Linked DNA regions of Caenorhabditis elegans. The protein of the gene in region 2 interacts with the protein of the main gene of each other region in a pairwise test. Each region holds a gene or a part of one and is shown on either strand. Other genes may lie near its edges.

What was found.
Region 1: the proteins of ceh-30 (region 2) and flh-1 interact in a two-hybrid assay, tested with the Caenorhabditis elegans proteins (one large-scale study listed by BioGRID).
Region 3: the proteins of ceh-30 (region 2) and mab-3 interact in a two-hybrid assay, tested with the Caenorhabditis elegans proteins (one large-scale study listed by BioGRID).
Region 4: the proteins of ceh-30 (region 2) and tbx-38 interact in a two-hybrid assay, tested with the Caenorhabditis elegans proteins (one large-scale study listed by BioGRID).

The regions. Positions count from the first base shown.
Region 1 is NC_003282.8:9,259,610-9,267,008, reverse strand, and holds flh-1 (FLYWCH transcription factor 1), read left to right. Parts: upstream 1-2,745; 5' UTR 2,746-2,777; coding exon 2,778-2,794; intron 2,795-3,306; coding exon 3,307-3,532; intron 3,533-3,580; coding exon 3,581-4,351; intron 4,352-4,397; coding exon 4,398-4,907; 3' UTR 4,908-5,201; downstream 5,202-7,399. Other genes in the region: Y11D7A.19 (NADH dehydrogenase [ubiquinone] 1 alpha subcomplex subunit 13), read left to right, coding at 662-760, 813-1,199; col-120 (Nematode cuticle collagen N-terminal domain-containing protein), read left to right, coding at 5,256-5,332, 5,383-5,467, 5,514-5,613, 5,661-6,340; Y11D7A.10 (NADH dehydrogenase [ubiquinone] 1 alpha subcomplex subunit 4), read left to right, coding at 7,249-7,303, 7,360-7,399. UniProt on the Caenorhabditis elegans protein: Probable transcription factor. Binds to the DNA sequence motif 5'-[AG]GGCGCCG-3' in the promoters of target genes, including micro-RNA genes, in order to repress expression, and acting redundantly with flh-2.
Region 2 is NC_003284.9:3,060,167-3,067,107, reverse strand, and holds ceh-30 (Homeobox protein ceh-30), read right to left. Parts: upstream 3,535-6,941; 5' UTR 3,403-3,534; coding exon 3,219-3,402; intron 2,943-3,218; coding exon 2,687-2,942; exon of another isoform or gene 2,482-2,686; intron 2,374-2,481; exon of another isoform or gene 2,224-2,373; intron 2,221-2,223; exon of another isoform or gene 2,075-2,220; intron 2,021-2,074; coding exon 1,747-2,020; 3' UTR 1,557-1,746; downstream 1-1,556.
Region 3 is NC_003280.10:9,729,627-9,740,064, forward strand, and holds mab-3 (Protein male abnormal 3), read left to right. Parts: upstream 1-2,604; 5' UTR 2,605-2,676; intron 2,677-3,785; 5' UTR 3,786-3,795; coding exon 3,796-3,938; intron 3,939-5,384; exon of another isoform or gene 5,385-5,385; coding exon 5,386-5,464; intron 5,465-6,142; coding exon 6,143-6,289; intron 6,290-6,658; coding exon 6,659-6,830; intron 6,831-7,335; coding exon 7,336-7,667; 3' UTR 7,668-8,409; downstream 8,410-10,438. Other genes in the region: RNA-binding protein pno-1, read right to left, coding at 9,753-9,820. UniProt on the Caenorhabditis elegans protein: Transcription factor which binds the DNA motif 5'-[CGA][TCA][TA]ACAATGT[AT][TGA]C-3', probably as a monomer.
Region 4 is NC_003281.10:11,782,779-11,789,550, reverse strand, and holds tbx-38 (T-box protein 38), read left to right. Parts: upstream 1-3,489; 5' UTR 3,490-3,498; coding exon 3,499-3,704; intron 3,705-3,726; exon of another isoform or gene 3,727-3,806; intron 3,807-3,865; coding exon 3,866-4,184; intron 4,185-4,950; coding exon 4,951-5,337; 3' UTR 5,338-5,469; downstream 5,470-6,772. Other genes in the region: C24H11.1 (Serine/threonine-protein phosphatase), read right to left, coding at 94-315, 370-525, 603-819, 869-1,032, 1,104-1,313, 1,571-1,702, 1,750-1,803; srd-74 (Serpentine Receptor, class D (delta)), read right to left, coding at 5,477-5,665, 5,716-5,787, 5,859-6,137, 6,500-6,734. UniProt on the Caenorhabditis elegans protein: Transcription factor. Required for mesodermal induction, acting redundantly with transcription factor tbx-37. Together with tbx-37, acts by inducing cell fates in the AB lineage, thereby playing a role in development of the anterior pharynx.

The DNA.
Region 1 (7,399 bases), on a different chromosome or scaffold from region 2:
TCGAAAAGTTCCCAATTCAGTCTATCCAAATGTATGTAGAACGGCCAATAAAACATTCAATACTCTAGGAAATTTTATTTTAAATGCAAAAATTCACAGTTAAAAAGTAGCGAATATCTAGCTTTCACCACTCCTGATTTACGAAGTCAATATTGCATTCAAAAATACAGGTAATCCTCCATTTCTCAAAATCATCAAACTTTTTCAAATTTTTTTGAGAATTCTCATCAACTAAAAATTGAAAAAAAAAATCGGAGAAATATTTTTTACTTCGGCGTTTGCTTCTCTCTAAAGTTTCCAAATATATTTGGTAAAAACCAAATTTTTTACTTTACGCATATGAATTGTTATGTATCCTGTTACCTTTTTTGTTTTTCTTAAGTTCTTATCATATATTAAATTGCCTCATACGGTTTACAAATCTATCGAATATTGAGTTTCTCAGAATGTCAAATCAAAGTACTCCTAGAAGAAGATCACAGAGCATTGTGGACGATGAAGTACGAACAGAACAAGATACAAAGAGTTTAGATGAAACAGTTGAAGAATCACATCATAGTAATCTTCATCCATTTTTCCGAAATTTAATGGTCACGCCCCCAAGAACTGAAAGAGTTCCAAGACCTGTAAGAGATTCTCCAAAAGGAAACGAAGACAATACATGCGGCATGTTCTTAGAAATGATACATCTCAACGTTCCAGTCCATACAGTAATCCTAGAAGACGCTCATGCATAGTTCCACCAATTTTTCCTAGAAAGGTCAGTTTTTGAATTTTAATGAGAACTCTGAGCAACCTTTGTTCTCTTTCAGGATTCTCGCATTCATCAGTACTTTCCATTTGATCCTCCATCTCCTTTGTCATCAGAAGAAAAAACTCCAACACAGTCTCGTCACAATTCACCGTCTCCAACAAGGTCTCCTGTAACAGAACCTAAAGAATATGATCCAATAGTACCTCCAAACAGCCCAAAAAGGGGAATTCCAGAGCACTGGTCACAGCGAGCACAAGATAATATTACAATGGGATTTGGTTTTGCTCAGAGTTGGATGAACACCATAAAACCATCGAGAAATACAGTAGAAGAACGAATAAGACTCCCACAAATATATCATGTTCCAAGAAAAGAATTCGTTTGTTTGGTGGCACTCACATCGGTTGATGAAGCTCTCTTCCACACAATATTAATGTTCCCATGACTTCTGAGGTCTTTTAAAATGCATTTCTTCTCTTCTTCAGATCGAAATTTTGTATACATCTCAGCACCCCATAAACAAAAGTTAATTTTCAAAAAATGTTTGATAGATTTGATTCTGTTGAATATTTTCGGCTGCATACTTTAAGCAACAAGTGGATTTTACACCAAATTGTTAACTGTGAGCCGAAAAGGCTGCATCCCTTTTTTGATAAAGAACCAAAGCCAAACCACGTACGGGCTAGAAGAGGAAGAGATTATGATCGTTTCTGAATTTTCAAATAATATTGTAATGTTATTTTCTTCATATGTGCTAGTAAAATGCTTTTTATGGGATGATGCAAGTGAATTTTTCTACATTTCTCGACAATTTATTTGCAATGCAAGTAAGCAGCATAATGACGCAAAATTCGCCATTTTTTTTACATTTCTCTACATTTCTCGACATTTGAAAAAAACACTCATTTTTCGTCAAAACCACGTCTTTAGTTCACGACTTTACCTTCCCAGACGTTCACGTTTGTTAAAAGTAGTGTAAAATGGGAAAAATAAAAATAATTTGAGAATTTTAAAAGATAGATGCGTGGCCATTCAACGTGGTGTTGCAAAACAGCCAAATTTGAAAAATCAAACTTGATCATTTTTAAATTTTAGAATTCAAAACCACGTTGAATGACCACGCATCTATCTTTTAAAATTCTCAAATTATTTTTATTTTTCCCATTTTACACTACTTTTCACAAACGTGAACGTCTGGGAAGGTAAAGTCATGAACTAAAGACGTGGTTTTGACGAAAAATGAGTGTTTTTTCCCACGTCGAGAAATGTAGAGAAATGTAAATAAATGTAAAAAAATTGCGAATTTCGCGTCATTTCGCTGCTTACTTGCATTGCAAATAAATTGTTGAGAAATGTAGAAAAATTCACTTGCATCATCCCATTAGAGATGAATTCCTATTTGAAACTGCTGCAACTATGTAAAAAATATATATGGTGACTTATTGATATTTCATTTTCCATTTTCACAACCTCGTGGACCACCAAAGCAACATGCAATATTCTATTTTGTTTTTTAGGCCTGTTCAAATAAGTTTCCAGTGATACGCAATTTATCGTAGCCGTTATTGCACAAAAAACGTCAATGAGTGACAGTAGTCCACGCGCATAACTGTTCATCATTTTTCGTTTCATTTGTTTTTTCTCTGGACAGATCTGTGTTTCTCGCAATTTCTTTTCATATTAAATCGTTAAAATAGTAATTTTCAATTTCCAATTATAAGAAAACCGAAAGTTATTCTTATAATCTCTCAAATGCTTAAAAAACCAACCTAAATAAACAGAAGTTCCTTTTGGATTATTTTAAATTATTTTTGCCAAATCTAAAAATAAAACCAAAAATAAATCAAAATATTCTCAACTATGAGACATTTGTTTAAAAATCGTTTTTTTTTTCGCTTTTGTATTTTACAGGCAGTATTTGTTTTTTTACACACGTTGCCATCTTAATCTATTTTATTCGAAATTTTTATAAAATCTAAATTTATTTTCAGGACGGCGTCTTCCAATTATCTAATATCGGAGGATGTATTCGCCAGAATCGTAAGGCTCCTGCTCAATCATAAAAAAACGCTTGCCTCTATTGTTAATCCTACATGTCTCCCTTTTCTCACGTCTAGCGTTCTTCTCTCCCCTCCCAACATCGCCCTATCTACTGTAATCCAACGTCACCATCTGTCCCCGCTGCCTCCATGCCGTCGTCTTTTTTTGCTCCCGTTTGCTGCGATTGCCCTCCCACGAAGGACCTCTTTGGTGTAAACAGTGGAACGGACCCAAGAGTGCGCGTACGCGGTCCGCGAGCGGCTGACCGCGCACGTCATTAGAAGAGACAACAAATGAATCAGAGAGACGCAGAAGAAGGGACCATAATGTCCCGCCCTTTCCCCGTTGGGTTGAGAGACTTAGACCCCCGAACGCTGCTAATGTTACAAATATGTCATTCCAATAGGATTTTGGTCTACCGTCTGGCTGCATAGTTTTTTACTTCCTATTTTAACCTCATCACTCAATTGGTCTTATCTTCCATGTAACTTAGAATAATTTATTAATTTCAGAATGAACTCCAACATATCTTCTCCATCCCCTCCGTCGTCGTCTTCTCTTAATGCTCCAAGTCTTGCGGATGCTCCTGAAGTTAGATCCGATGATGGAGAAGCCGAAACTTCCGAACCATCGACTTCTGTCACAGCTGTACCAATGGAGATTGTGTCCCAAGCATCTACATCTGCTCCTGTTAACCAGTTGCTCGCGAGCGGAATTGATATGTCTAGCGTTATTAAAGTAAGTTTCCTCTATCCAAGATGTTATTTCATTTGATTGTTATTTCAGAACAACGCTGTTTTACAGGCACTTCTTGCCAGTGCCAGTGCCGGTGGATTCGGAGACAACGCAGGCCTCACCATGTCAAAATTATTGACCGCCGCTCTCGCCAATGGATCCACTGCGGTTGCTAAAAGAGATGCAGGTTCTCCACGTACTGATATCCCAAAGAAAACTCGTCTGAAAGTGTTTTCAAACGGATTTTTCATGACATTTGACAAGCTTTCATCATGTCAAAAGAAATATTTCTGGAGATGTGAATACAAGAACACTTGTAAAGCACGAATGCATACGGATATTGTTACTGAAAAGATCCTCACGTTTATCCATGAGCACAATCACAGTGCACCAATAGATGAAGAAGTTAGACTTTATGGATTGGACCCAACGAATATCGAAAGAAATCGTGTCTACATAGTTGGAAATGTTGCTGATCCAAATCAACGAAGAAAGATCCGAAAGCAAGTTGCGGATAGAGAAGCAGCTGCAAAGAGGCTCGTTCAACAGCAAGAAGAAGAACAACAGAAGCAACAAAGTGCATCATCAATTGTGGCGGCTCGAGCAGCTTATGCGCAAGCAATGCAGAATGGCTCAATACCCACATCTTCTGGGGTCGCGTCTTTTCTCCAGTCAACTTCGGCCACTGCTCCAATGACGTCTCATTCAATGCTCCTTGCGCAGATGCCATTTTTAAATAATATTAAAACGGAGATGTCAAATATGGTGAAAAACGAACAATTCACTCCTGAAAGATACACACAGCATATGTCTCCAAACTTGGTATGTCAACTTAGTGTTGAAAGTTTATTCTATAATAATTTTTAAGCCATTGCAGACCGCCACAATTGCTCCACTAATAATTCCAACAGAGAACTACGACTCACCTTCATATAGACAACCAGCAATCAAAAGAAAAGCTACTGATTTGACGAATGAAGAACATGATTTGAGAAGAGATCCGATGTTCCAGCCAACTTTCGAGCTTGCCAGAAAATTGAGAAAACTGTGGAAAGGAGAACCGAACAGATATCCAAGAACTACTACGACTCCGACTCATCATTTTGAATTCTTCCTTTCTAAAAATGATGGAACAGATGAGCATCTCTATGTTCCAATGAGAATCAATCTCCGTGATGAAGCACACTTAAAAGAGGCACTTCAAGACTTCTGTGGTCAACAATGTATCGGAATGCTTCTTTTCGGAATTTCACCAAAGATCAGTGTAATGTTCAATCAACCCATGTTGAATAATTGGGACAATAATCAATTCTTCCTGCTCGACATTTCAAATCCAAGCCGTTGGCGACTGATGTATGTGGATGATCAAGCTGTGTAATTTAACCGAATACTGATTGTTTTTTATATGTGTAAAATGTAAAATTTCCTCCACTCTCCACCTATCTCATTAAATATTTTCTGTGACATTTCTCCATCGAAACTGGTTTTTACCCAATGTAAACCTCATCCTAAGTCTACGATTCAATCTAAATCACATCTACCTCCCTTTTCCAGATGTTTTTTGAACCATTCCACTAATAATGTGTAATGTTATCTTTGACTTGCTATCAATTATCCTTATTTTTTAACGTGTTCTATCCGTTGTAGGATTGTAATAAAACAGTAAAGTGATAAGCGTGAATGATATAAAACACAGTTGAAAATGATTAGGTGATTGGAAGAAGAAATGAATTTGAAGAAGAATTTAGTGAATTCTGAAGAGGATGAACTTCGAAAAGTTGCTTTCGTGGCGACTGTTGTCAGGTATGTTCCGATTTCCACGTGGCAGAATAGTACAAGCTGGAAATTTTCAGTGCTGCTTCTGGAATCATGTGCATTATTCTAATTCCTGGGCTTTACACATATCTACAATATATTCAAAGCTCTGTTCAAACTGATGCAAGTGATTTCTATTCACATTTTGGTATTTATTCTGCATTTTTAGGTTGGATTTTGTGTTGACGGGGCTAAGAATCTGGAAAATATGTATGAATCAACGAAGGCTGTTGGTTCAGGGCCAGTAAAAAGACAAGCTGGATATGGAGGTAACTTGTAACTTTTGTGGGACTTTTTGAAACTAATTCAATATTAGCTTCTTCCCCCTCTCGAGCTTCTGGAAGTCATCCAGCTCCATCTCCATACGACGCTGCATCCACTTCTTCTTCATCTTCTTCCGATTCTTGTTGCAGCTGTGGAATTGGTCTTGCTGGGCCAGCAGGTTTCCCAGGTCGACCAGGACGAGATGGAATAGATGGACCAGCCGGAAAACCTGGACGAGATGGGCAAGATTTGGATGGAGAATCGTCTTCTGATGGATCACAAATTGAGCTTGATTGCCCAGCAGGACCACCAGGGCCACCAGGAAATCCAGGTCCTCAGGGTAATTCTGGGCGACCTGGAATGGATGGTATGCCTGGTAGAAATGGAAGATGCGGGAGACCAGGAGAGCAGGGAGAACGTGGACCAAATGGAGAAGATGGACGACCTGGAAGACGTGGAGACGATGGAATGCCCGGAACAGTTAACGAAATTCCAGGCCAAGCAGGTCCACCAGGTCTTCGTGGTGCTCCTGGAGCTACTGGATCGCAAGGACCACGTGGAAATGATGGTAGACCAGGAAACAAGGGACCAGCAGGACCACCTGGAGACCAAGGATTTGATGGAGCACCAGGAGGACCTGGAGCTGATGGAGAACCTGGAGCACAAGGACCTTTGGGAGCAAAGGGAGAATGTTCACACTGCCCACCTCCACGAACTGCTCCTGGATACTAATTTTTATCTGTTTTGTTGATTAGATTTAGTTTCTGTAAATAATGAACACTTTTAGCACTATTTACTTAAATTATTCAAAAAGTACAGTGACCTATCTGCGAAACACAACGCAAGACGAAGAGACACAGACATAAAAAACTACAATACTCCGTTCTGACGCTGCTCGTATTTTATTTTTTGCGTCTTATTTTTTTTAATTTTTGCACGTTTTGTTTAAAATTTACTTTAAATTTTTATTTAATGAATTCCCGACCTTAATTTTTGTAAAAATCGGTTTGCATTACACATTTTGTTAATATAAACTGTTAAAAATCAACTATCATCGCCCATACTTCTCCGAAATGAGCCAAAATTGAAATTTACGTCATGTTCTTCAACATTTAAAATCATTAGAAACGTTTGTTGATTTGAAATTAAAGTATAGCAATTTATTTGAAAACTCTCGTTTTCATGATATATGTACTGACAAATCTAAGGTAAATAATCAATTTCTAAGTTTAAAAGAGATCAAATTGTTTTCAGTTTAAGCATATTTAAATCTAAATCTTATCGGATTTCATTGTTTCTAGTTTTTATCGTACTGAATTCCAATCATTTAAATAATTATAGAAATGCTTCGAGTTTAGTTTAATACCAAATTTTTAGGAAATTACATGCACACTTTCATCGTTATGATACTTTCATTTATTAAATTTTAGTTTTCTTGTGTGCTTTGAATTCTGAAAAAAGGAAAAAAGGTGTAGGTGCCAATAGTCACGTAGCAGACTACTGAAGAGTGTAAACACCACAGAATTGTCATCATTTTCTCAGCGCCTCGGGTCATATTGTTTCATTCATGTTTTTTTTCTTCTTATTTCCGTTGTTTTAAATCTCATAATTTCTCTTATAATTATTGACTTTTCAGCAAAATGGTCAACAAACGCACAGTCACCGAACTCAGTCTGTTTGCCGGTCTCATCGTGTGTAAGCGATGGTTGTTTTCAGAACATTTTCAGAGTTAAACCATAATTATTTTTCAGCGATGCACGTCGCCTACTACACCATCCAGAATAACCCGTC
Region 2 (6,941 bases):
GGGGTGGTTGACGAGCCACATCATCAGATCACGGATCGGTGCGCAGAACATCATGATTGTCTCCGTTGTGGCATAAAATATGGGAAGAAGATCAAGTGATTGTAAAACAATCATTAGATTATCTTATTCTACCTAATCCAGAGGTTGTTAAAATAATACTAATTATGAGGTTATAATTTTTATGACCCCATCGACGGAACCAAATTCATCGGAATGGTTGCAAACTGTGTTTTTGGATGTGTTCATTCACAATTCACCCCACTACCGTTCACGGTGTGGTGTCCAATTGCTTTAATGACACCGTTCCTTCAAAATCCTATTTATTGGCGGTAGACGATTACCGTACTCGTCTCCTTTCTCCCCTGTCTATTCTCGAATTAGATGTCAAGTGGGTTTCAATGTGTATATGTGGGTGTGTGTGTGTGTGTGTGTGTGTGTGTGTGTATGTACACGACCAATTTGTCTAAAGACGAGAACGATGATCAGGATGAGGGCCTGGAGTTTCTCAAATGCGAGATTTCCACTAAATGAGCCTGGTTTTGTGGGCGACGAAAAGGGGAAACATAATAGAAGAGGAGCGTGTTACATGGAATTAGGCGTGTTAGTTGTTAGTTGTCACTGAACCGGAAGAATGCACACTTCTTGCGTGCTTACACAAACATACCACTAGCCTAACACACTACCAATTACCAATTATCTTAAGCTTACTAATGAACGACACTTGTGCTCTTCCGGGGACAAAATTGAAACAATGAACTGTAGAATGGAAGCTGCTATGATTTTTTATCCTTAAAAATTTATACCATTTCAGCAATATGAGTTAGAGAGAGCAATTATATATTGTTAAGTCAAATGTTATAAATTGAAAAATGTAGCATGATAGTAATTCTTGAAAATTTTCTAATTTGAAAGGCATCAAAATATGTACTATCGACTATTTTTTCTAGGTTCACTTTAAAATTTAAAAGTTCACAAACTTTAATTTTATTATCAAGTTAACAACAAATTTGTATATATTCGCGCCTGTAGCAAGCATTTTAACTGAGATCGTGGCGAGACCCACTCAGAAAAACAATTTGTGCCTTTACTATGAATGTCAAAATTTTGCTAAATTACTACATATCATTTTTGAAAAAAAATTTTGGAAAATTTTTATTGCGAGAAATGTTTATTGTTACTGGTGAAAACTGAGTTCGATTCACACAAAAGTACCAAAATTTCCAATTTCTATTTGAAAGGTTTTATCATGATCTTTGGACATTTGAACACCATAGAAATAAGTTTTACTAATTTCTCCACATTTTTTGAAAAAGTGAGCTAGGAACCGTCTGTCAGGTAAAGGTATTTGTCGAACAGGTGAGGTGTTAACGACGCCTGCCAAGTATTCTATCTCACATATTTACCTCTTCCGTCGCGATAAAATCAGAACGGTTGCGCCACTCGCCAACACCTGGCGCTTCTGGCACGTCTTGTGTTCATTGTATTTTTGAATGCCCCACCATCTCCAGTTTTCTTATCAGATTTCGGAAATCGTCATCATCCACGAACAGCATAATAAAATAATAATATTATTATTAATGACGTGGAAATGACATAATCAAGCAAAATAAAAATAACACAAGCGATACATATGCAATGTTGTGAAAAAAAGAAAGCGTCTTCTCCCTATCTAACCCATTGAGATCGGTTTTTGTGACTTTAATTGAAAATATTACATACAAATTTTAAAAATTAACACAAGAAATACTATTCTGAGTTGCTGGAAACATCCAACTGAGGGGATTCACTGGATATGTGAGTGGATGGAGAATTTGAAGAGGAGGAAGGCTGGAAAGCATGGGCTGGGGGAACAATCATAGACATGGGTAGGCCCATCATCGGTAGCTGAGTGCCCATAGGTAAGGCTGTGATATAGTTGGCCCAATATGGACTGCTTCTGATCAAGTTCTGAACTGCGGAGAGGTTTCCAGGTTCCGATAGAAGATCCATTCCACTTGTTGCCTGTCGCTTCCATTTTGTTCTATAAAAAACATTAAGTAATTTGAGTAATTTGAATTGCCGTATTTTGTTCCACTAGACCGGACGTCTTCACTTTTCACATCTTAATTTTTGAGTGTCCCGTTATTGTAATAATGATGTTTTTATGTCGCAACTAGATATATTATATGTATTAACCACCACTTGACTATATTCGGATTAATTCAACGCTGCCGAACCTTGGGACCAAAAGCAGGTGATCTGCCTCTTAGCGGACTCATACGCCTCATTATTGTGCAAAAGAGCAGGAGACCACCCCGGCGATAACTACACAACAATAGCGACGTTTTGAAAGGTTTTCCAGATTGTGAATGCATGGATACATTTCAAAAGAGGCACAAATTCGTCTATCCACTTCATTCACCAATGAAACCGATACTAAAAGCTGGTGAAAATTTGATGATGACGACGATGATGATGCTCTGATGACAAGTCATCACATCAAATATTCACATAGAACACCGCCGCCTTGAACAATAATTAGGAAATGTGAGCGTGGTTGGTGTAGTAATCTACAAGGGTGGGCTCAATTGGCGGCTACGCTTGTTATTAATTTGAGAATGTACATATGTATGTTAAGAATTGACTCTGCTACCAACGATAATTCCAACGATAATTCCAACGATAATTGAAAGACGTTATTACTAACCTTCTATTTTGGTACCACGTCTTGACTTGAGTATCAGTGAGACCCATTCTGTGCGCCAAATCCATCCTGTCCTGGACTGATAGATACTTTTGCTTTTCAAATGTATTCTCCAACTCTTGCAACTGCTTGTCAGTGAAGATGGTTCTTGCCTTCCGAGATTTTTTGCAACTGCCTGGACTACCCATTCGATCGCCGCCGGGGCTGCTTGCTCTTGGCGAAGTTGAAAAATCAGATTTAATTGATTGTGGCGATGGGTCTGAAAGTTGATGGTTATTGATGCACAAAAAGAACAAAACAAAAGATTGACCCCGGAAGAGAACTGTATTCATATGTTCATTAAGGCATTAATCCTTTTACCCCCCCCCCCCCCTACATTCAAACTATCATTTCCGGGTAGTCACCATTGAGAGGAGAAAATCGAGAGCATGGTTGAGTAAATTTTTGATGGGTAACGCGCCGCGCACAAAACTTTTAATGGCTGTCGTTTTGAATGTTTGGAATTTTGGAATCAATTGCAGGTGTAATGACTTACCGTGATCGTTTGAATGGGATGAATTGTTTGGGGATTGCTCGAGAATGTCAGAAATGCGGAATGAAGAAGAAGACGAAATTTTGTTGCACGGGGAAGTTGAAGCTGCTTGAGCTAGAAGTGCTTGTGTAGTCGGATCCAGATAAAAAGCGGGAAGCAGAAACTGCCGAGGGTCGAGAAGTGACATTTTGGGAAGTGAGTGGTACTGTAGAAAAGTGTTAAACGAATGCTTTGCACGTTCGAAAGTCGGGAATGCGACACTGTTGAAGGCACCGATGATTGGTTATTGTCGGACGATGAGGGGTGACTATAAGACAAGTTAAATGTGCGAGAGTGGGCGGGGCGACGGCCTGGCAATTTGGGTGAGAGAAGAGGGTGCGTTGACATTGGGAAGGATGATGCAGCAGCAGCTACCACCACCGCCCTCCTAAACATGGTCATGACAATTACACTCGATTTTCGAGATCCAACGCCACATGAGAAGTCAATTATTTGTATTTAATAACACGAAATCTATAACTTGACCTTTCATTTTGCACATCTCAGATGATGCGGGGGAAAATGATGGCGAAAATGAGATGGGGGAAGATGGTTGGGAATAGCTGCACACTGCGGCTAATTGGAGCAACCTGTCAAACGGTGGTTCTAGGGAAACATTTGATGAATTGTCAAACTTGGAAATAAACAATATGGAATATTATTCTGCCAAAGCTGGATATCGAACTCTAATTTTCAGGTTGGTGCTCGAAATGTTAAAGTTTCATTTTCACAGTTTTTCACTTACTTGCAGAAAGACCATCTTACTAATCTCCATATATAAGCTTAGTCGGTTTGTTTTTCACAAAATCGACAAAAGGTTACTCAACGTATTTTTCGGCAAAAAAAAGTTATAGAAGTTACGGTAAATTTTTGTTACGAATCACGATTTCAGTAACCTGTAGAAATACGGTGATTGTTTTTTATTTAATTTCAAATAATTTCAATCATTGTTGTAAACACTCTGTTTCCTTTTTTTCTGAATGAATACATATTTTTGTCGCTTTTCTCAAATTAGTTCTGTTTATAGTTTCATTTTCCCCCAAAACACGTAATGTTGCAATAGAGTTTCAGAATAAGGCCACTTGCCGATATTATGAACAATCTTCGCTCTGTCCTTGAAACAATGCATTTTCACATCTTAACCAGACACAAAAATAATTTGAAACTGCAAAAAGCGTTAAAATCCCATATTCGGAGTGACAAAACCCATGTAATTAACATCCACCGATTCCTATATTTCGAAGAGAAATCTACTCTGAAGTGTCGATTAATTTTGCATACTAACCGTCAATTACAAAACAAATAAAATGGTTTTTTGTTTCGCGATTCCAAGCCGATTGGCATGGAAGGACATTCAGCTAATTTTCGACCGCCCAGCTATGTACATAGACATGTTTCAAAGTCATTGCGTTCCTCATTCCGCCAGCAGTTGTTTTATTTGATAGTTCACATAAATCATTCTCATTAGCTCTTTCTTCTACTTATATATTTGCTACCTTGGTAATGTTGAGAAACAAGATGATCGTTCCGTCCTTGTATATTTAGAAGAGGTGCAAAAAGCGGAGACACTTTCAACTCAACGTAGCGTAAAATATTGGGCGCGCAGGAAGATTGACTGGAAAACGATACAGTTACAAATTGAAAAATGGGAAGTTGAAAAAAAAAGGAAAATTGGAAGTGGAAATGAAAATGCATTAGAGATAATTGTCATTTGCCATTTCCCCCACTCTTAATTGTGAACATACATCTTGACACCCAGTAACAAGAAAAAAGCTGGCAATATGAATATGAGCTTGTTTAGGAGACAGAAGCCGCCTTTGAAATCTCCCGGGTAAGCAGGTTCTATTACATAATATCGTATCCTTTCCATACAGCTCATTACAATTGCCAACATAAATAATTAGATTAAAGGACACTCCCGGAAAGGTGTCGCAGACCGGTGGGACCAGCACACACGTGGCTGCTCTATTGTGTTCTGTTGCGCAATAGAGACGCTTCTTTTTTTTTGACAATGGCAATTGAGACCAGGTAAACGACTCCTTCAAGTGTGTGAAGCGGTGTTTATCAAAGCCACCCGGCAATTGTGTCCTTTTTAGGCACCTTTTTATGTGACATGTTGACTTATAGCTTGCACCGATCAGCGGCAGGTTAACGAATACAATTGATGGAACTGCCGGAAGTGTCAGGTTATGGATAAATTTGAAGAGTTATATAGATAGTTGGAAAGATAAAACGCTGCTTTGATAAACATGAAATTTATTTCAAAATTCTTATTACTTAAATATTAAACATATATTGGAACTCGTTTTGAAACCATAGTTTCTAAATTTATTCATTAACAAATTAACTTCTAACAGTGTTAGTATACACGTGGATTTATCTGTGAATTTTGGACAATTCACTGGATTCAATTTTGAACGTTCAGGCAAAAGGTTTAGTCATATTTAATCGTATTTTATAGTTCTCAACTCATATGTGACTGATGTGTTGTTTCTAAGCATTTTTTTATTTATATTGTTTTCAAATTGAAAATTTAATTTTTGCAGTGAAGATAATGTTTTTGCAAAACTAACTTCCTATTTATTCATTGCACAAAACACTTTTATAATCAAATTTTGTCTAAAGCACAATCATGATCATAATGGCGCTTTTTTCTAATTCTCTTTGGTCTTTGAAATTATAATATTTAACTTGACAATGCGGTTTAACTATACAATTAACTATACAATATACAACTACATATACAATTATACATTTTTAAAATTCAAGAAATAAGTGAAACTCTTGCCAAACATAGTTTTATAAAATCGCAAAAATCATTTTGTTTACATAAAATTGGAATTGAAAACTCAAAATGGCTATTGATTTTCCTGAATTCTTCAGTCAAACGTCAACAACCATAATTTTTGAAAACTAGACTATCAAAGAAATTTTGAGCGTTTCAGCAAGCTCGTATTCCTATGACTTTTAAACACAATTTACTGAAATTTTATATTTTGATCTGTATATTCAAACTATTTTAATTTGACTTACATAACAAAAATTAGTGAACACAGATTACCGTATTTCTTCTACTTGTCTTGAACCCTTACGGATCAATCGAAAATTAGTCTTGCATGAAAGACTAACAGAGGAAATACGGTAGCTACCACTTTTTGATAGCAAGTACTATAGAATTTAAAAAAGTGTTCAAAGTGATAGAATTTAAAAAAGATATAGAATTTAAAAAAGTGTTCCATTTAAATAATCTCCTCTCCGATAAAAATCCACTTTAAACAGTTGTTTAAAACCTAGTAAACGTTCATTTTTTTAAAGCGTTATTTTCTCTCAATTCCTTGAACATTTTTCATTTGATTATATATATATATATATATATATATATATATCGTAGAAATCGGTGGAAAAATATATTGCGAAATACCAACTGAAAACAGTCGACCATAATTCCTCTGTTGTCAAATTTTGTACAGCTGATTAAACTGTGCATATACTGCGGGAAAGGTGGGGCCACCACTCGCAGATCTAACAACACGAAACCTTTGTTCTCAAACTATTATATTCCCTCAAATATTATGTAATTTTTGTTATTAATTATTTCCACTTTTTTTCTCAATTCATTACTGTACCCCTCACTCATTGTCTATTCCATAGACCACCACTTGACAAGTTTAATTTGAAGCTGAGTCA
Region 3 (10,438 bases), on a different chromosome or scaffold from region 2:
TTGACAATGTTACTTATGAGTGGTTATTGGTCATCTCCAGAGAACTTAGAGTAATACATTGGAAGACTTATTTTTGAATATTTTTCCGACCACCAGTGTTACAAGACCTCCCGTATTATTAGAACACCATGATGTGTAGACCACACAAAAATAATCATTCAAAAATTCGAGCCCTTTCCAGCCGACCCCCTTGCCCTCAACAAGAACCTTTACATGCTTCTCCTCATTGTTCTTTCGTCGCTCCTTTTGATTCTTTACCTATCTCCCCACTTCCAGCACTATTTCCATCCCAAGCCCCTCCCACAGTCGTTTTTTTTTCGAACCTCTTCTCATTGTTGCGAAAAGCCATTCATTTTGTGTGGCGCAGCATCAGGCAAAGCAGCACTTTTTTGCAATGCAACACTCTGAATATCCGTCAAGGGAGTCGACGAAATAGTGTGCGAGACGAAGAGACGCAGACACGGAAAATTGCGAAGAACTACGATTGGAAAAAGCGAATAACAACAGCCGTTTTTTATTGGGCCGCCCCAATTTTTCTAATGGGTGGCCTGAAGACGGACGCCCGGCGCGAGGTCGGAGAAGATAAAAGGACGTTTGAATTTGGACGCCCGGACCTCCCGATTTATGAGACCTTTTTGTACGGAGGTTGTCTCGAGGGAAGAGTTTTAAATTTCAAGGATTTGATCTTGCAAGCGCTTGGGATTTTGAATGAATGAAAAAATTGGGTGGAGGCTAGAAGTTATCAGAAAAAATGTTCAAATTTTTTTTTGAAATTTCTGAAAATCACTACCGTAATTTCTATACTATCAAATGCTAGCCAATATCTGATTTTTTGTCTGCTGTGTAAAACGACAGGCAATGATTTTTTTAATCGAAAAGAGCAAACCCTCGAAATAGGCTCCACTTACGCAACAAATCGTTCTCTTATTTCGCTTCGATCGACCACCAGTATTTAAAAGATGGGTGGTCTAGATCTCACAGAAACCTGCACTATTTCAACAAGATAAACACGACGGAATGTTCGTTCACTCTCACACTTCAGCCGTTTTTTTCCTACGAGCGAAACAATCAGCGGGGCGGGTAGTGAGCGAGTTGAGACTGTCTAGACTCGATGTGGTGATCTCTTTGGAGTACAGAGAATGTTCAGAGTAAATACAGTCCATTCGGCAACATTTGAAAACAAGAATTTAGTCAAAATTTATCAGCAATTCCTTTAGAAAGTTGGTTCTCAAACCTAAAATTTTTTAACGACATTTATAAAGTGGAACTGGAAATATCTTTGGTTCGGGAAAATTTGAGAAATTTAAATTACTGAAACTTTAAAAGTCATATTGAAAATTGTTATCCATTGCAGGTCAATAATTTTTGACTGAAACTTCAAATCTTGGTAATTGAAAAACGGTTTGACTAAATAGTGAGTCACTAGAACTTTGACAGTTGGTAAGACAGTTTTCAACAAAACTATTACTTTTCAAAGTTTTTGGTAGCTTCTCTCGAAAACATTCCTAATATATTTTCAGGTCCAAATCAACCTTTACCAAAAATGTTTCCTCTGTAATTTTCTTGTCAATCCCACTTTGTTTCTACCGCTTCTTCTCCTTTCCATTTCGAGGACACAGTCGAGATCAAATGTGTGCGTTGAAACTGCCAATTTTCATTCTCTCTCTGCTAACTGAACACAAGACCTGAAGGTGCTCATTAGGCGAAATTGAGAAATATTGGATTACTGTAGGCTTAGATATGTAATCAATCTGAAACTGGTGACGCGGGTGTTCAGAAAAAAAATTGTGGTTGGGTTGGGGGGTTAAGATTCAAATGAAGAAATGAAAAAAGCTAGTAAAAGCTGAAAGAAAGTACTTAGCTTATGAATATTAATTAGGTCACATGGGAGCAGTTATGAATTTCCAGTCCTAATTTTTTCTACAGCCCGGTGCCGGGATCTTGGCCCTATGGACTGAAAAAAAGCTCAAGAATTGTATTTTTCCTCGAAAAAAAAATATAATTAAGCTTTCTATATAGGCTCCAAGGTTCCAACTTGTGGATCCATAATTCTAGACATAGTTTCAATTTCCTTTAAAGCAAGGTAGGTCACATTCCAGGAATGTTTAATAGTTTTCTAAAATACAGAAAAGTCTAGAAAAGCCTACCCAACGAATGATAATAAAAGTTCGAACAAAACCTATAAAAATTGAGTTACAGGAAATAAAATAAAAAACTAAAAGTTTGCAATTTTCTCTCGTCTCTTCTCTTTCCATGATCACACGTACTTACAGGTGTCCCCAAAAAACGCAGAGATCACACGATTCGCGGAGTGTCAGCCAGAGAAAAAATATGTCGTCGCGAGAACTGATAGCGGTGTCCCCCTCCACCGCCATAGTCTCGGGGCGCCGCTCCCTCCCGATATATGTTTGTCTGGCGTCTCTTACCAGGTTTTCTCACGTTCGGCGTTCTCTAATTATCGTCGTGTGAGGTCTTCTATCCAATCGCGGGTGGCATCAGTCGCCAAAAAAGAGGCGGCGCTTCGTCGCCGCGACTCTTTCTTGCTGGGACCCGCCCCGTTTCACAGGAGGGGAGTGCCTATTACTCCCTCTTTTCCTTTTCTTTTCGATATTTGAATGCTATCGGTGCTCTAGGAGCTCGATCTTGACCCCTTGTTGGAGGAAATTGTACTTTTGGGTAGGTGCTTCCAGTCGATTCAGAATAATTTTTTGGGGTTTTTGAAAACAGTAAAATTATGTGAAAATGTTTCCATCTTTGCGTCTACAATTTGTGGCTGACTTTCCTAACAGTCTACTCTTTGAAATTTTTGAGAAAATGGCTTAACAAAAACTTGAACATTTGATCTGATGTACATTGTAGAAATACTGTAGCTCCTGACTTGTCTGTTTGTCTTGGTTTTAGTCTCTACAAAAAATTATTTCTTGATAAAAACCTCTAATTGATTAAAAATTGAACCTTTTGTAACACGATCAAATGTTGCCAGTTGCAATTAATCGATTTTTGTGATTTTATAAAGTTTGCAGTTAGGTTTGAAAAACTTCAAACGTATTTTATTTAGAAATTTATTTGCTCTTTTTTTCCTTCAAGTCAAATAAGCAATACGGTTCTGTAAATTAATAAAACTTTGTTGCCATTAAATATTGAAATTCCATGTATATCCGTTCTGAAAAATTCTTTATAAGAAAAAATTTCAAACTGGTTTTTAACATTTTTAACTATTGCAGGTTTAAAAACATACAGTAGCCCAACTTTATTCCACATTTAAAGTCACAGAATGAGCCCAACGTTGAATTGAACATTTAGATTATAAAAACGTATTTTATATATGTTTGAGCTATCTGTAATTTTTGAAGAAAAAAAAACTGGTTTCAAAGCTCTCTAAATTTTCTGTTTTAAATTCTCAAAATTCTTAACATTATAGGAAAAGAAAATTTTTTTACTTTACTTTGAAAATTTTTTTAATCCGAAAGATATACACTGGAAACTAGAAAAGATACAGTATTACAAAAAAAATTCGCATTACCAGCTGCTCCTTTAAAAAATTGAAAATTTGTTCCGATGCAAAGAACAATATTTTTGGCGAAAAAATGTTCTTTCTCACAAAAATCAGTCTTGAAAATTTGACTTTTCCACGACATTTTCAAAATTTCGTAATTATTTTATAAGTCAAGATTAGAGTATAGCAGTTTCATATAATGCTTATAGATCCCTCTTTTTAATTCCCTAATTAAAAATAAAAATTTCAACAAAAACAACTAAATTCATAATCTGAAAAAATTTTGCAGAGGAGCTCTAATGCTCACCGAGGATCCCGTATCGGAGATTTGTGAGGCGAAAGCAGTCGATGAGCTCGCCGAGCAAGAAAAAAATTATTATTGTCAGAGATGTTTAAATCATGGGGAGTTGAAGCCAAGGAAAGGTCACAAGCCGGATTGTAGGTGAGCAATGGTTTTTTTTGCATTTTTAAACTACATTTCATCTGAAAACTATTTTGTCATTCCATGTTTCTCCCTCATTCACCCTTAATTATATACATCACGTTTTAATGCTTAAACTCTTGAATTTTTTGATAATTTTGGGTCTTGCAACGATAAAAAGTTAACAACTGTTTAATGAACTTTTTGTAACTTTTGTTGTGCCGAAAAAGTATGTAGTTTATCCATAAATACTCCAAATTCCAAATTTTATCTCAAAATTGTCGCGTCACCGACCTTATTCACCCACCATCAGTTTTTTTTTTCGCGAAGCCCTCCGACAAAGACACCCGTAAAATTTGAGATGTTCGTCTACCGATTACGATCGGGCAAGAAAAGACGCAAAGCAAGAAAAAACAGCTGACCTTGTCGATTTAAAGCGAAAAATACCACCCATACAGGTGAAATTGTTATTATATGAGTGAGGGGGGTCAAAAACGAATTATTATATGGACGCGAAAAACGGAGGAGAAGAATGGGAAAATGCAAAGAGGCAAAAAGTTATGTTTTATACATTAACCTAAACCATTTTGAAGGTGGTCTAGGGATACTGTAGATGTTTCACCAAGGTGAAAGATGACTCAAAAAGATCTTGCAATGACGACAATTATCACTAAGCTAAATTGAAGATGGATTAGCGAAATCTGGGAAACATTTTAAAATGACTACAAGAGTTTTTTGAATACCTATGTGAAATTTTTTTAATTCCCTGATTTCGCTACTACACATTTAATAATATGTATATCAAGGTGTGTTACTCTTTTTAGGTTTTTTTAAACGCTCGTTTAAAGAATTTGTACTTCTCTGGTTTAAATATCCAAAACTCGCCCGAAACGACCGAATTTCATTATTAGGCTTTACAAAAATAATATCTATCCGGTTAAAAATTAAAAAAAAAACTAGTGAAATTCTGCCAGCTTCTTCTTCGGTCGATCATTTTTTCCAATGTTTAGATAAATTCAAAAAAGCGCTTCTTTTTTTTCGAGATATGTTTGGGAAGTTACATCATGAATTTTGGTTGTTTGGGATCAGTTTGAGACAATTCAAGCAACTAAAAATTTTTCAGCCTTTTTTATTATTTTTTTTGGAACCGAAAATTATTAAAAAATTATGTTTGCTTTTCATTCAAAAATCTTCATTCATTTTTTGACATCCAATCACACAGATACACTCACTTTTCAAACAAACCATTCCACAATGACCTATACAGTCGTAAAATTCCTCACCCAATTTTTTTTTTCTCCCAATTTTTTCAGTTCATATAATTTTTAACAAAAGATAGGGCCTATCTCTATTGTGAAAAGTCTAATAAAATATTTGAATGGGTGGGCGGGTTACTGTACAACTACAAAATTCTCCCGTCGATGACACCAAGTGGCACTGAAAAATAAACAAGACGAACATTTTACAGATATCTAAAATGTCCATGTCGAGAATGCACGATGGTCGAGCAGCGAAGACAGTTGAACAATTTGCTAAGCAAAAAGAAGGTGAGTATTCTATAGGGATTCTATGGTAGGTGTGGCTGTAGGTGGCTGTGCCTTACCTCATTCCTGTCTGCCTACATTTCTGTTTCGCGGTGTAGGCGGTCTTGAAGGTTGTATGTGCGTTCTCACGCACTTAAATACCACATCTTATCAGTTCACCAAAAAATCGCAACTTCAGATCAAATCTGACATTTTCAAAATGAAAAGTGGGTTGACGTCTTGGCTTTTTTCTCTTTTTGTAAGAAAAACAATTGAAGATACGAATAGATAGAGTGTGAAAAGCAAAGAAAAAGTGAGAAAAAGATTGATTTTATCGGATTTTTTTAAGGGTAGGTATATTTTTCATGAAGTTGTTCTTTTTCAAAAGGGGCTCTTGTTGTGGCAAGTCACATATAGGTCATTGCCTGGCCATCTATAGGCGTACCTACCTTATTGTTTTATTTCAGTTATTTGTTGAAAGTGTATTTTTAAATGAGAAAAATGCTCACTTTGGACCATGGGTATGCGTGTAGGTATGAGGCAATTGTAGGCTGCATTGACTGCAAGCATTCTTGAGCCTACTGAAAGTTTATACCGAATTTCTTGGTTATTGTTTTTGTGATTGCATTAACTCCTATAATATTACTGTGAAAATAAAACACTTTTTAGCGGGACCCCTTATAAACCTTTCCAAATTTCCAGATCCACTGCACACCGGCAACTCAAACCCGTGATGGGAAGCGTGTCCGTGACCCACACTGTGCTCGGTGCTCGGCTCACGGAGTCCTAGTCCCATTGCGGGGACACAAGCGGACAATGTGCCAATTTGTGACATGCGAGTGTACATTGGTAAGTGTAATTATACTGTCATCATCGGCAGTCAGGCGCCCTTGACAACATTGCAGTTTTTATGCTTTTCAATGTCACCTGCGCGAAGAAATTATAGGATTATAAAAGTACTGTAGGGAAATGGGGGAGTGGCTTGCCAATGAGATTTGAGAATGTGACTTTTTGAAACATTTTGATAAGTTTCAACTATTTCGAAGTATTTTTAATGCAACAGTGCTACGAATTGACTTTTTAAAAATTGTTGTGGAGCAGGCAACTTGGAGCATGCTCTTGGACTGACAGAGAAAGTTGCCACATTAATTTGTGTGAGATTTTTGAAAACGCGTAAACAGAACTACGATTTTCGAGTTTAAAAATATTATTTTTCAGTGTACTCTTGTGGAACACCGTCGAAATCTTATGGCGGCTCAAATCAAATTACGCAGATCACAACAGAAATCCCGAGATGGTAAAGAACCAAAAAGGAACTCTCGTAGAAAATCGAAAGATATGGATATGGAGATGATGGTTGTCACAGCTACAGATGGTCAAAAGATAATTGGTAAGCTATGGGATTTTGTAGAAGTGTGTAAATTGAGCTTTAAGTCAGAATCACAAAAATTGGAGTCTAAACCTGAAATCCAGTCGGAAGTAATTCTAGAGTTGACGGTACGTATTAACGTTATCAGAAACATAGATTTTACCATCAACTCATAGATTATATAAAATGGCTACTTGTTATTTCCAATTTTTCGTACCGAAACAATCAAATACGGGAATATCCAAACGCATCAATAAACAATTACGAAAGTTAAGAGGTTAATTTCAAATATGTCTAGAATCTCAAATTGGTACAACTTCTCAGTTATAGAATATGTCTTTCTGCTTACCTATCAGGCGGGCCCTGCCCTGAAAGTTACTTTGCCTTAAAGATAATTACCACTTAAGCCAATGTATTTTCAAAATTCAGGGGAAGACAAAAAAGTGGTAATTTTGATGCAAATATCAACGCAGACAGTTAAAATTTATATTGTAGCTTCAAAGAAATTAAATCTATAATATTCCAGGAACATCAGCAAGTCCATCTCCATCCTCAACCACTGATACAATGTCCCCATCCCTTTCAATGTCTCCACCATGCTCTCCATCTCCACTTCTGGCTCAATACACTCTGACGCTGGCTGCTCCGATTCCAATCTATCCGCCGATCCCAATGAATCAACAATTGATAAGCTTGCAACAACAACAGTTCCTGATGAGCATTATTCAAAATATGGCTCCATCAATCGGACAACAGGCTCCACTCCTTCCAGGCATTTCTGCAGGTTCTGTCTCATCGGCAGCAATTTTGAATGAGTTCTGGAGTATGTATCTGAAAAATTATGGTCTGCAAGCCTAAGATCTATAATTTTGACCAATTATTGATTTTTAGAAAAATTGTATGTTTCCCTTCTTTGCTTAATTTTCCACACAATCTCTTTTTATCTTTGGTTTCAAACTCAATGATTTTTTCATATTTTCTTGAATTTTCACTTTTTACCAATTTTGTTATATTTTCTAATTTTTTCATTCATTTTTCACCAAGTGAACCAACCAATTTACCGATTTTTTTCTCGTCTTCAAGACCGCTTGTGTTATTCCAAAAATCCCCATTTTTTTTAAATTCAAATAATCTTTTCGTCTCTCACCAAACCACATACTATCTTTCTATGTCTCTTCGCCACCTAATCATGTCATCAATTTCTTCGAAAATTCCCAAATTTCACCGATATTCTTCCGTTTGCATCGATTTCCCACTGTCCCCGCCCAAATTGAGCTGAGCTCCGCCCACACTTTCCCAGGATTACTGTATTGTTTCTCGCTCTGCGTCTCTCATTCTCGTTCCCTCTCTCTTTGTTTTATCTCGGAAAATAGGATCAAATCCTAAACAGTTAACCGGTCCGTTTTAGACACCCCCGGTGGTAATAATTTTGAAAAAAAGTGAAATCATGTTTTTTAATGTTTTGGTTTTAAAAAACCAAACATTTTTTGGAGAGAAAAATGTATAGAACTTCCAAACATACAAACACACGACGCATCGAGTCTAATAATTATTGATTTATTTTTATTATTTTTGATTTTTCAATAAACTTTTCATTTTTAAATCGTCTTGGTTCTGTATGCAAACTTGATCGTACAGCAATTTCCAGAAAAAAAGTTGGCGGCCGAGCTTTCTCTTCCGCGGCCATGTAGAAACCCATAGACAAGGTCTTAGCACGAATGAAACTTTTCCGTTACCGTACCATAGGGTATTTCCCAATTTCTCCTGTTTCAGAAAACATATTTTTTTTAAATTTAAACTTTCGTTGCTTCTGAGTTTTTAAAAAGTTTTATTTTCAGTTCTCCCAATAAAAATGTATTTATTTATTTAAAAAATTTAACAACGAAAAAAAAGCTATACCGCTCAACACCGAAAAGTTTGCGAATACAGTACTCCTTAAAGGCGCACACTCTTTTGTCCTCTGAAAAATTGATCGTGTCAAGACCCGGTACCGTATTTGTTGTCTAAAATTTTAAAATGTCCGTAATTTCCATCCATTTCTGTCTCATTTACCAAGAAAAAAACATCACTAAACCACATGAATAAGAGGGCTTTAACCTCCCGATGAGATGGATCGGGGGTCTCAACGCGAAACAAAGGTACATCCCAGTCAACAGCAGCCTCAGCAGCACCAAAAAAACGGTCATAAAATGGAGATTGCCGACCGACCGACCAATTCGAATCGGTTTTGCGACGAGGACGATGCCATTCGGAAAACGCAACGCAAACGAACACATTAAACCGAAAAAAAAACATTTGGAAAGGTCGGATTCATTCTGTGAGAATCCACGTAGCTTTTCAGGGGGACTTTGTGCTGAAATTCTTTTGAAGCTTGAAAATTTCCTCCATTTTGTGATTGATCATTCTGTTATCAATTTCTTTTCCGACTGCTGCCGCCTGATTGCATTCCTTGAAAATGTTGCGAAAATCTTGAAAAAGTGCAAACGTAGTCAAAAAAAAAGTCGCAACATTTTTCTTGTTCACAATCTTCAACCAAAGTCAGTACACATTGGGGGTTTTGTTTGATTGGCAGTTTGTCAACTTACTGATAAGACGAACGTCGGCGGCTCGCGACGCGAACGACATTAAAACGTCTAAAACTGCATGTGCTGAAATGTACGAAAAAGGGCGGAGATCGGTGGGATGGTGGTGCTGGGAGGTGCTCGTGGCACGAGATGAGCACAATGAGCACGTCTAGACTGAATGGGTGAAGGGGCACTATATTGGGAAGGTTCCGAAAACTAGCAGATTCCAAGTATAAGTTCATAAATCATCTCAACAAACTCAACAATTGAGATATAGAAACAAGCATTATTGGTGTGGTAACATAACAATTAAAAAAGAAACGAACAAGGAATACGATGAACAAAAACAAAAAAAAGACAGAAAAAATGTAATTGTTGATTAGAGACGTTCTGCTCCACGCGATGCCATGTTGCGAAGACTTCCGTACACTTTTGATGGGTTCGAACCTGAAATTTCGTTTTTAAATAGTTTTAAGTTTGATTTTTGATATTTTTAAATATCTAAATTTAGGGGCATATATCTTTCGATAGTTTTGCAATGTTTAATAAAAATGCACTGTAATATTTGGAAGAATATGTGTTTGTGAGACCACAACACCTCAAACTGTCCATCATCATTTCAGCAATAGAAACCGAGTGCAACGACCTTTCTCTTTCTCCTTCAGGAATGCAACCACGATGTGTTCGTGCGCAGAGAAAACCCCATCCCGAATGGCATTTCTTCGCTTTTTTTCTATATTCTTCATCTTCATGTGCGCACTGAATTTGTGTACAAACACACATTTTCATGGCGTCCCATCAAATGTGACACGGTGGTATTGGAAAGTGTATGTATACGTATGAATGTGTTGCCGTCCCCCTACTCTTCTGATATTTCTGCCGCCTATTGCGTGACTGAACCAGGTCCTGTCCAGACGGCACAAAAAGTGACAGACAGACAAAAGTAGAATAATGGCAAATTAATTTGGAAAAAGCTACCAAAAAAAACATATCTGCATTGACACCATGTAATTTGGATGTTTCTCATATACGCACAAAAGGCTTTTGTGTCAACGGCGAACGCGA
Region 4 (6,772 bases), on a different chromosome or scaffold from region 2:
ATTACTGTAAATGTTCTATTCTAGTTAACAAATTGACTGTACAAACCCCAATTCCCCCAAAAACACTTTATTCAAATTCAGACAGCCAAAAACTCAATGAGGAACATTTGAAGTCGTCTGATCCTTGGCATTCTCCTCGCACTCATCACGTCGAACTTCGAAATCTTCGGGTTTGAGCTGAACAAAGCTAAGTTCGAGCATCTTGTTGACCACCACAACAGCTGCATAATTGCAGAGCTCAATTTGATAACGAGATGCCGAGAAGACAGTGATGAGGCGACGATCAGCGAAGAATGCATACCCGTACTCGACCACCTGGAGAATATTTATAGTTAATAGAGCACAAATAGAACTAGTAAAAAGACCAACCTGATGAGCTCTGACAATCAAATCGATATCCAATCTCTTGCACAAATCATCAACCTCCTTCTTTCCAAAGACGTTCGAGATTGCACGGATCTTGTTGGGCTCAAAGCCTTTGGCATCCTTTTCAGGGTCTGCCCACAGCAAGTCACAAGCGAGAGGCTGAAATGGTATTAAGATGAAAAGAAGCGCAGACTATCGATATTCCGATCAAGTCGGGCATTTTGACGGAAACTCACATGAGTCTTTGCAGTTTCCAGTGGCAATGGGATTGCACGAATATCATCGAGAGACTTCAAATGTGGAGAAATCCCTCCGTGCATGCAGAGAATACGCTTCGAGACGATTGCACACAGGGGCATATACGAGAAGACTTGATTGAAGTGATTGTAAACCGATTCATACACTTCTTCCCTTTGGAAACGCTTCTTGAGCTCCGCGTGGAAGCCGTAGTTTCTGTTACCAATAAGATTATTTTGTGTCAGATCTACTAACATGTGCTTACTTGTTGATGGCCTTCAACTCATGATTTCCTCTCAACAAATGCATCTTTCTGGGCATTGCCAATTTGAGTGAGAAGAGAAGCATAATGACTTCCAATGAGTGACCTCCACGATCCACGTAGTCCCCGAGGAAGAGGTATTGAGTTTTTGTCGCTGCTCCGCAGGCCTGAAAGGGAACATATAGAACAGCTTAGCACACATGCAGTTGGTATGGTAGGCAGGCAGGTAAGGACTTACATTGAAAATACGAAGCAAGTCGTTGTACTGCCCGTGGGTATCTCCACAAATGTTGATCGGAGCTTGAAGTTCCAAAAGAGCATTTGCAGCCGGTTTTGGAGGGCTCATAGATGTGGTTGCAGATGCTGAAGCAGATGGTGCAGTTTTCTTGTTCGGTGGAGATGTGTAGTACTTGAAGACACGTGTCAACAGCACATGGATCTCTTTTTCCTGAAAAAAAGACATTAGGAACGTAGGTAGGCATGGAGGCAAATAGACAGGCAGGGGCGTGGGTAGGTAGGCAGGCAACCGCTTAGAAACGCAGGGATGGTGCAGGTAGAGAATAGGTAGGAATGCAGTGGTTAAACATTTAGGCAGGTATGAGGCAGGCAGGTAAATATGCAGGGATGATTCAGATAGGCAATGGGAAGGCATGTAGGCAGGCACAGGTGAAGCAGGCAGGCCGGTATAGAGTCTCCTTTACTTACATCAAACATAATGGCTTTCGAGAATACAGGCTTCAGAAGTTTCTTGATCATATCGGTCAACTTGAATCCCTTCTCATCGGCCTCCGTGATATGCCAATTGTTGGCTTCCGAACCCGGTTCAACGGAAGTTTTCTGAAAAGGTAGAGGCATTTTAAAGAATCATCTGAATTTCCACTTACCTTTGGAGCATCTGTTGCAGCAGGATTTGAAGAATTCGAAGAATTTGAACTCATTTCGTTTTCAATTCAAATTGATCCCTTTGAAGTGTGAATTATCAATTAATGAATTTATTTTCTTTCTATTGATTTATTGATTTTGATGATTTATTGATTGACCATTGCGATAACAATTGTTTTTATTTTTGACGCGAACATTTTTAAATTGTTTTAAACTTGCGTAACTAAATTGTTATTAAAGTTGTAAACTATCCAAAAATTGTAAATTTTATGTTCTACATTTTGATAGTTGACAACTTTTTTATAGCGTTTTTTTTTTTTTTTTGTTTTTGACGCGAAAAATTTCTTTTTTTTTTTGTAAATTTTTTTCAATAATTTTTTATTATAATTTTCGTGATTAAATTGTTATCAAAGCTATCAAAAAGTTTGTAAATCGTTTTCCAACTATTCCTAAATTCCTAATCGATATTGTTTTTTTCTTTAATTTTCCAGATGTCCTCCAAGTTTCCCACAATATCGTGTGTCTTTCGTTTTCCAAACCACGTGGCGTACCATACATGGCAGAGAGTTGTGTTACGGCTCAAAGACATGTGCCGCTTATACTTTGCTATAAAGTATTTTGCCAAGTGTTTCGAACCGTTTTTGAACCGTTATTATTACTTGAAAAATCTCATATTTGCAGTAAAAATTACTGGAAGAAATGTACATTTAATAGTAACGTTTAAGTATGAAGCTATTGAAAAATGTATGAAAAACAAAATATAAAATTATTTTTATAATCAATTTCTTGTGTTTCTAACCAATTTCAAAATGCACCAGCCCTCCCGCTGAGCCCGACACATCTTCTCCTTCCGAGCCAATTCAAAACTGCGCACCGCTATCACTAGAGTGTGAGGTGTCAAGGTGTGGGTGGAGGTATACTTTTGAAGTGTGAACTACACATTCTAGATTGCTGAAGACCATAGAGATGCTCAGTTGGAGGAAGAGGTGTTCAAGAATCAGACACCAACATTGGCTCGCAGTTTAATGAGTGTTCCGATTTTACAGTTATTTTGGATATACTTCGCGTGTGATCCTTCTAGGTCATTATTATATTGGTGTGAATTCAAAAAGCCTAAGCCTATGCTTTAGCCTAAACCTGAGCCTGAGCTGAGGTCTAAGCTTAAGCCTGAGCCTAAGCCTAAGCCTTAGCTTGAGCCTAAGCCTAATAAGGGATGGGCGGCGAACAGGCTTTCTTGGTGAACGGCGAATTCGGCGACTTTGCCTATGCAGTTTTTCCAGTTTTCCAGGTTTTCTCTGAAGGTTTTTTCTTGTTCAAAGGTGTAAGCCTAAGCCTAATTGTAAGCCTAAGCCCAAGCAGAAGCCTGACTGAGCCTAAACCTAAGCCTAGGCATAACTCTAAGCCTAAGCCTGAGCATAAGCCTATGTCTATGTCTAAGCCTAAACCTAAACCTAAAGACTAAGCCTAAGACTAAACCTAAAGACTAAGCCTAAGCCTGCACCCAAGGCCGCCGTGCGCTACATCTCCCATGGCCACACGCTCATATGTGCCAAGTTGTGCTCCACTTGCCACGTGTCCACCCCTACGTGTGGCCCAGCCCCTTCCGGCTCCGCCCACTTACCGGCTCAGTTTTACAGAATTAGTGAGAGTGGTTAGCACTTTTATTACAATTAGATTTTTGTTGCTCTACTTCCGGTCTCACTTTTTTGTGCTTCTGTTACTCCTATAACTCCCCCTGTTACAGCATTACCATGTACTCGTGCACCTCCCCATCCGGAATTAAAGTCTCCTTGAGCACACCAGAAATTTGGGAAGAGTTCTACCCGAAAACCGAAATGATTGTGACGAGAAACCGTGGAAGGGTGATTTTTCCGCATTTGGACTATATCATCAAGGGATTGGATCCAGGCAGTCTCTACTCGATTTATATTCATTTGGAACGTGTTGACGGGATTAAGTGAGTTGGGTTAAAAGATAGAAAAAAATTTTCAACTGGTAAATTGTAGAAAATTAAATTTGCTACAATTTCTAAATTGACAACTTTTTGATAGCTGGTATACTTTCAGAGTTATAACCTATAGGACGATTCCAATTTCAAAAACTTGAACTCATTTCCAGATACAAATTCGACGCAGGAGAATGGAAAGAATTCGCCAAAGGAGATCCGATTCTTCCAATCCAATACAAGGAGCATCCGCGTGGCAAGCGTACTGGAGCAGAATGGATGAGTGAGCCCGTCTCGTTTGCTCACATCAAAATCACGAATAACCCGGAAATCAAGGATCAGAAGGTCATTTTAGTGCAGAGTATGCATAAGCACATTCCAGTGGTCACTGTTAAACAGGTCCGACATTATAAGACAGGGTATCAAGAGGATTTTAGTGGGGAGCAGTTCCGGTTGGAGGCTACTGAATTTATGGTGGTCACTGCTTATCAGGTTAGTTATTTGAAAGGGTGTGGGAAATTAAATTTGCAACAATTTGTTGAAAAAAGTTGAAAACATTTTAATCGCGTCACTATCAACGGAGATGAAGTAGTTTAAAGTTGGAGAGCATATTTTCAAGTTTCCAAAACTGTAAATTTCGAAGCGCTATTCCAACTTTTCAAATCAAAAATAAATGTAGACATATAGAAAGCATCTAATTCAAAATTAAAAAAATACTGAAAAACTTGCCGAAAGTTGCCATTTGCTGAAGCTTAAGCTTAGGCTTAGGATTAGGCTCAGGCTTAGGCTTAGACTTAGGCTTAGGCTTACGCCATTATACAGGAAAAAACCTTCAGAAAAAACCTGGAAAACTTAAAAAACTGCATAGACAAATTTGCCGAATTCGTCGTTCGCCAAGAAAGCATGTTCGCTGCCCATCACTGATTAGCCCTAGGCTTGGGCTTGGGCTTGGGCTTAGGCTTAGGCTTAGGCTTAGGCTTAGGCTTAGGCTTAGGCTTAGGCTTAGTCTTAGGCTTAAGCTTAGGCCGCAAATCGACTTTTTCAAAATATTTGTCGAGCACGTCAAATTCGGTAAATTTATTCGGCATGGCAATTTCGGAAAAAGCATTAAGTTTTCATTAAGTGCCGGATTGAAACTACGCTATTAAAATTTTGTCAACTAAAAAATAAAAAAATGTAGCAAATTCAATTACCCACAACTAGAAATTTTTCACCAACTACATACATATATTCTCTACAAAATTGTACCCTTTTCCAGAACGAAATCCTCAAAAACCTCAAGGTTCATCACAATAAATTTGCATCCGGATTTCGTTCGAATGGCAAGAGACGGCTTTCTTCAGACTCTGAAAATTCTGAAAACTCTCCGCCCAAACGCAGCAAATTGGTAACCCCACCGACAATCTCACCGCAAATAGATCTCCCACAGCAAACCCCGTATTATTTCAACCAGAATTTTGTGGCTCCGCAGAACTACCAGCCACAGTTTGCAAGTGCTCAGAATTACAATTTCGAAGTTCAAAATAATGCTCAATTAGCTTGGAATATGTATTATCAAAAACAATACGAGTTTTGGTGGCAACAGCAGCAAATGATGATGCCAGGACAACCACAAGAGCTCAAAAATGAATTCCAAAGTTTGTGAATTTTTTGTAATATTTTTATACCCCCTACCTATTGCCTTTCTCCCCCTTTGAATATTGTACTGCACTGATCTCCTGGATTACTATTTATGTGTCTCATAAATAACAATTGAAATAAACTTTATTAATATTTAAAAAAAATCAAATAGTCCTCGCGGAAGACTGCGCCACGGACAACGTCACCCCAATCGAGACACTTCTCTGCCGCCGCGTCACAAAACTCCTATATGGTGCAACGTAGTAGATCGTTAGAATCGGATCGATGAGGCACGGGATGACGCAGGTTGGAAACGGCACGAACTCGGCAATCTCGAACTCGATGTGGATTCGCTGGAAATTTTTCAATGGGCTAGGCGTGCCTGCCTGCCTGCCTATCTCACCTGCGCCACAAGGAAGTATGCAACATTGGGAAGAAGGCATACCATCGGGAACATTGCCTGCATTGTGAGTGCCTGGAAAAATTGGAAAGTTGCCTGCTTGTTTGCCTACCTACTAGGCAGGCAAGCCTACTCCTACCACTCACCCTCACCAAATCCAACGACGATTTCTTGGTTCGTTCACTCAAATGTGTCTGAACTTCGTTGATTTGATTGAAGATCTGATGTCTCCAGTACAGAATGAAAACGGGCATCATGTAGGGAATTCCCATGAGAATTGTGGTATTGATAAGATAAACCAGCCGAGTTGTCGACTTGAAGCCTCCATATTCGCCGAAAGTATCTAATAGGTGATAGTTGGGATACGATCTTTCCGTGTTCAGGGTTACTGTAGGGAAGTCGTATGGAGGAATTAAAATTGCTACCTGAAAATTTTGGAATTTATTTAGAAAGTGGTCCTAGTATTAGGCTTAGACCTAGGCTCAGGCTCAGGCTCAGGCTGAGGCTCAGGCTTAGGGTTAGTCTTAGGTTTAGGTTTAGGCTTAGACCTAGGCTCAGGCTTAGGCTCGGGCTCAGGCTTAGGGTTAGGTTTTTTGGGCTTAAGCTTTGGCTTACGCGTAGGCTTAGGCCTAGTCTTGATGAAAACCCTGAGAAGAAAATCATGGAAATTTCCTACTTCCTAAGCGTTTCAGGAAATAGGACAAGAAAACCCAAAAATTTGAACCAAAAGAAACATTCAAGATTATTTTAGGCCACGCCCATATCTTGGCTAACACTCTTCACTTACCAGCATTCCAACAGAAATCACCAACGTTACTCCGAAATTTCGACTCAACGCTAAATTCTCGCACTTTCCGTGACAAATCAACGAGTACCGATAGTACATGGACAATAGTATTGAGAGATTTGTGGTGCAAAGAAATAAATTATAAAAATTATAACCTATGAAGGCAATCACAGGAGACGCATGCCGAAGAGGGCCATATGGTACCAAGGCGACCGATTCGCCGGCGCTGATGATTCTGGAAATCGGGAAATTCTGATAACATGAAATTTTTTT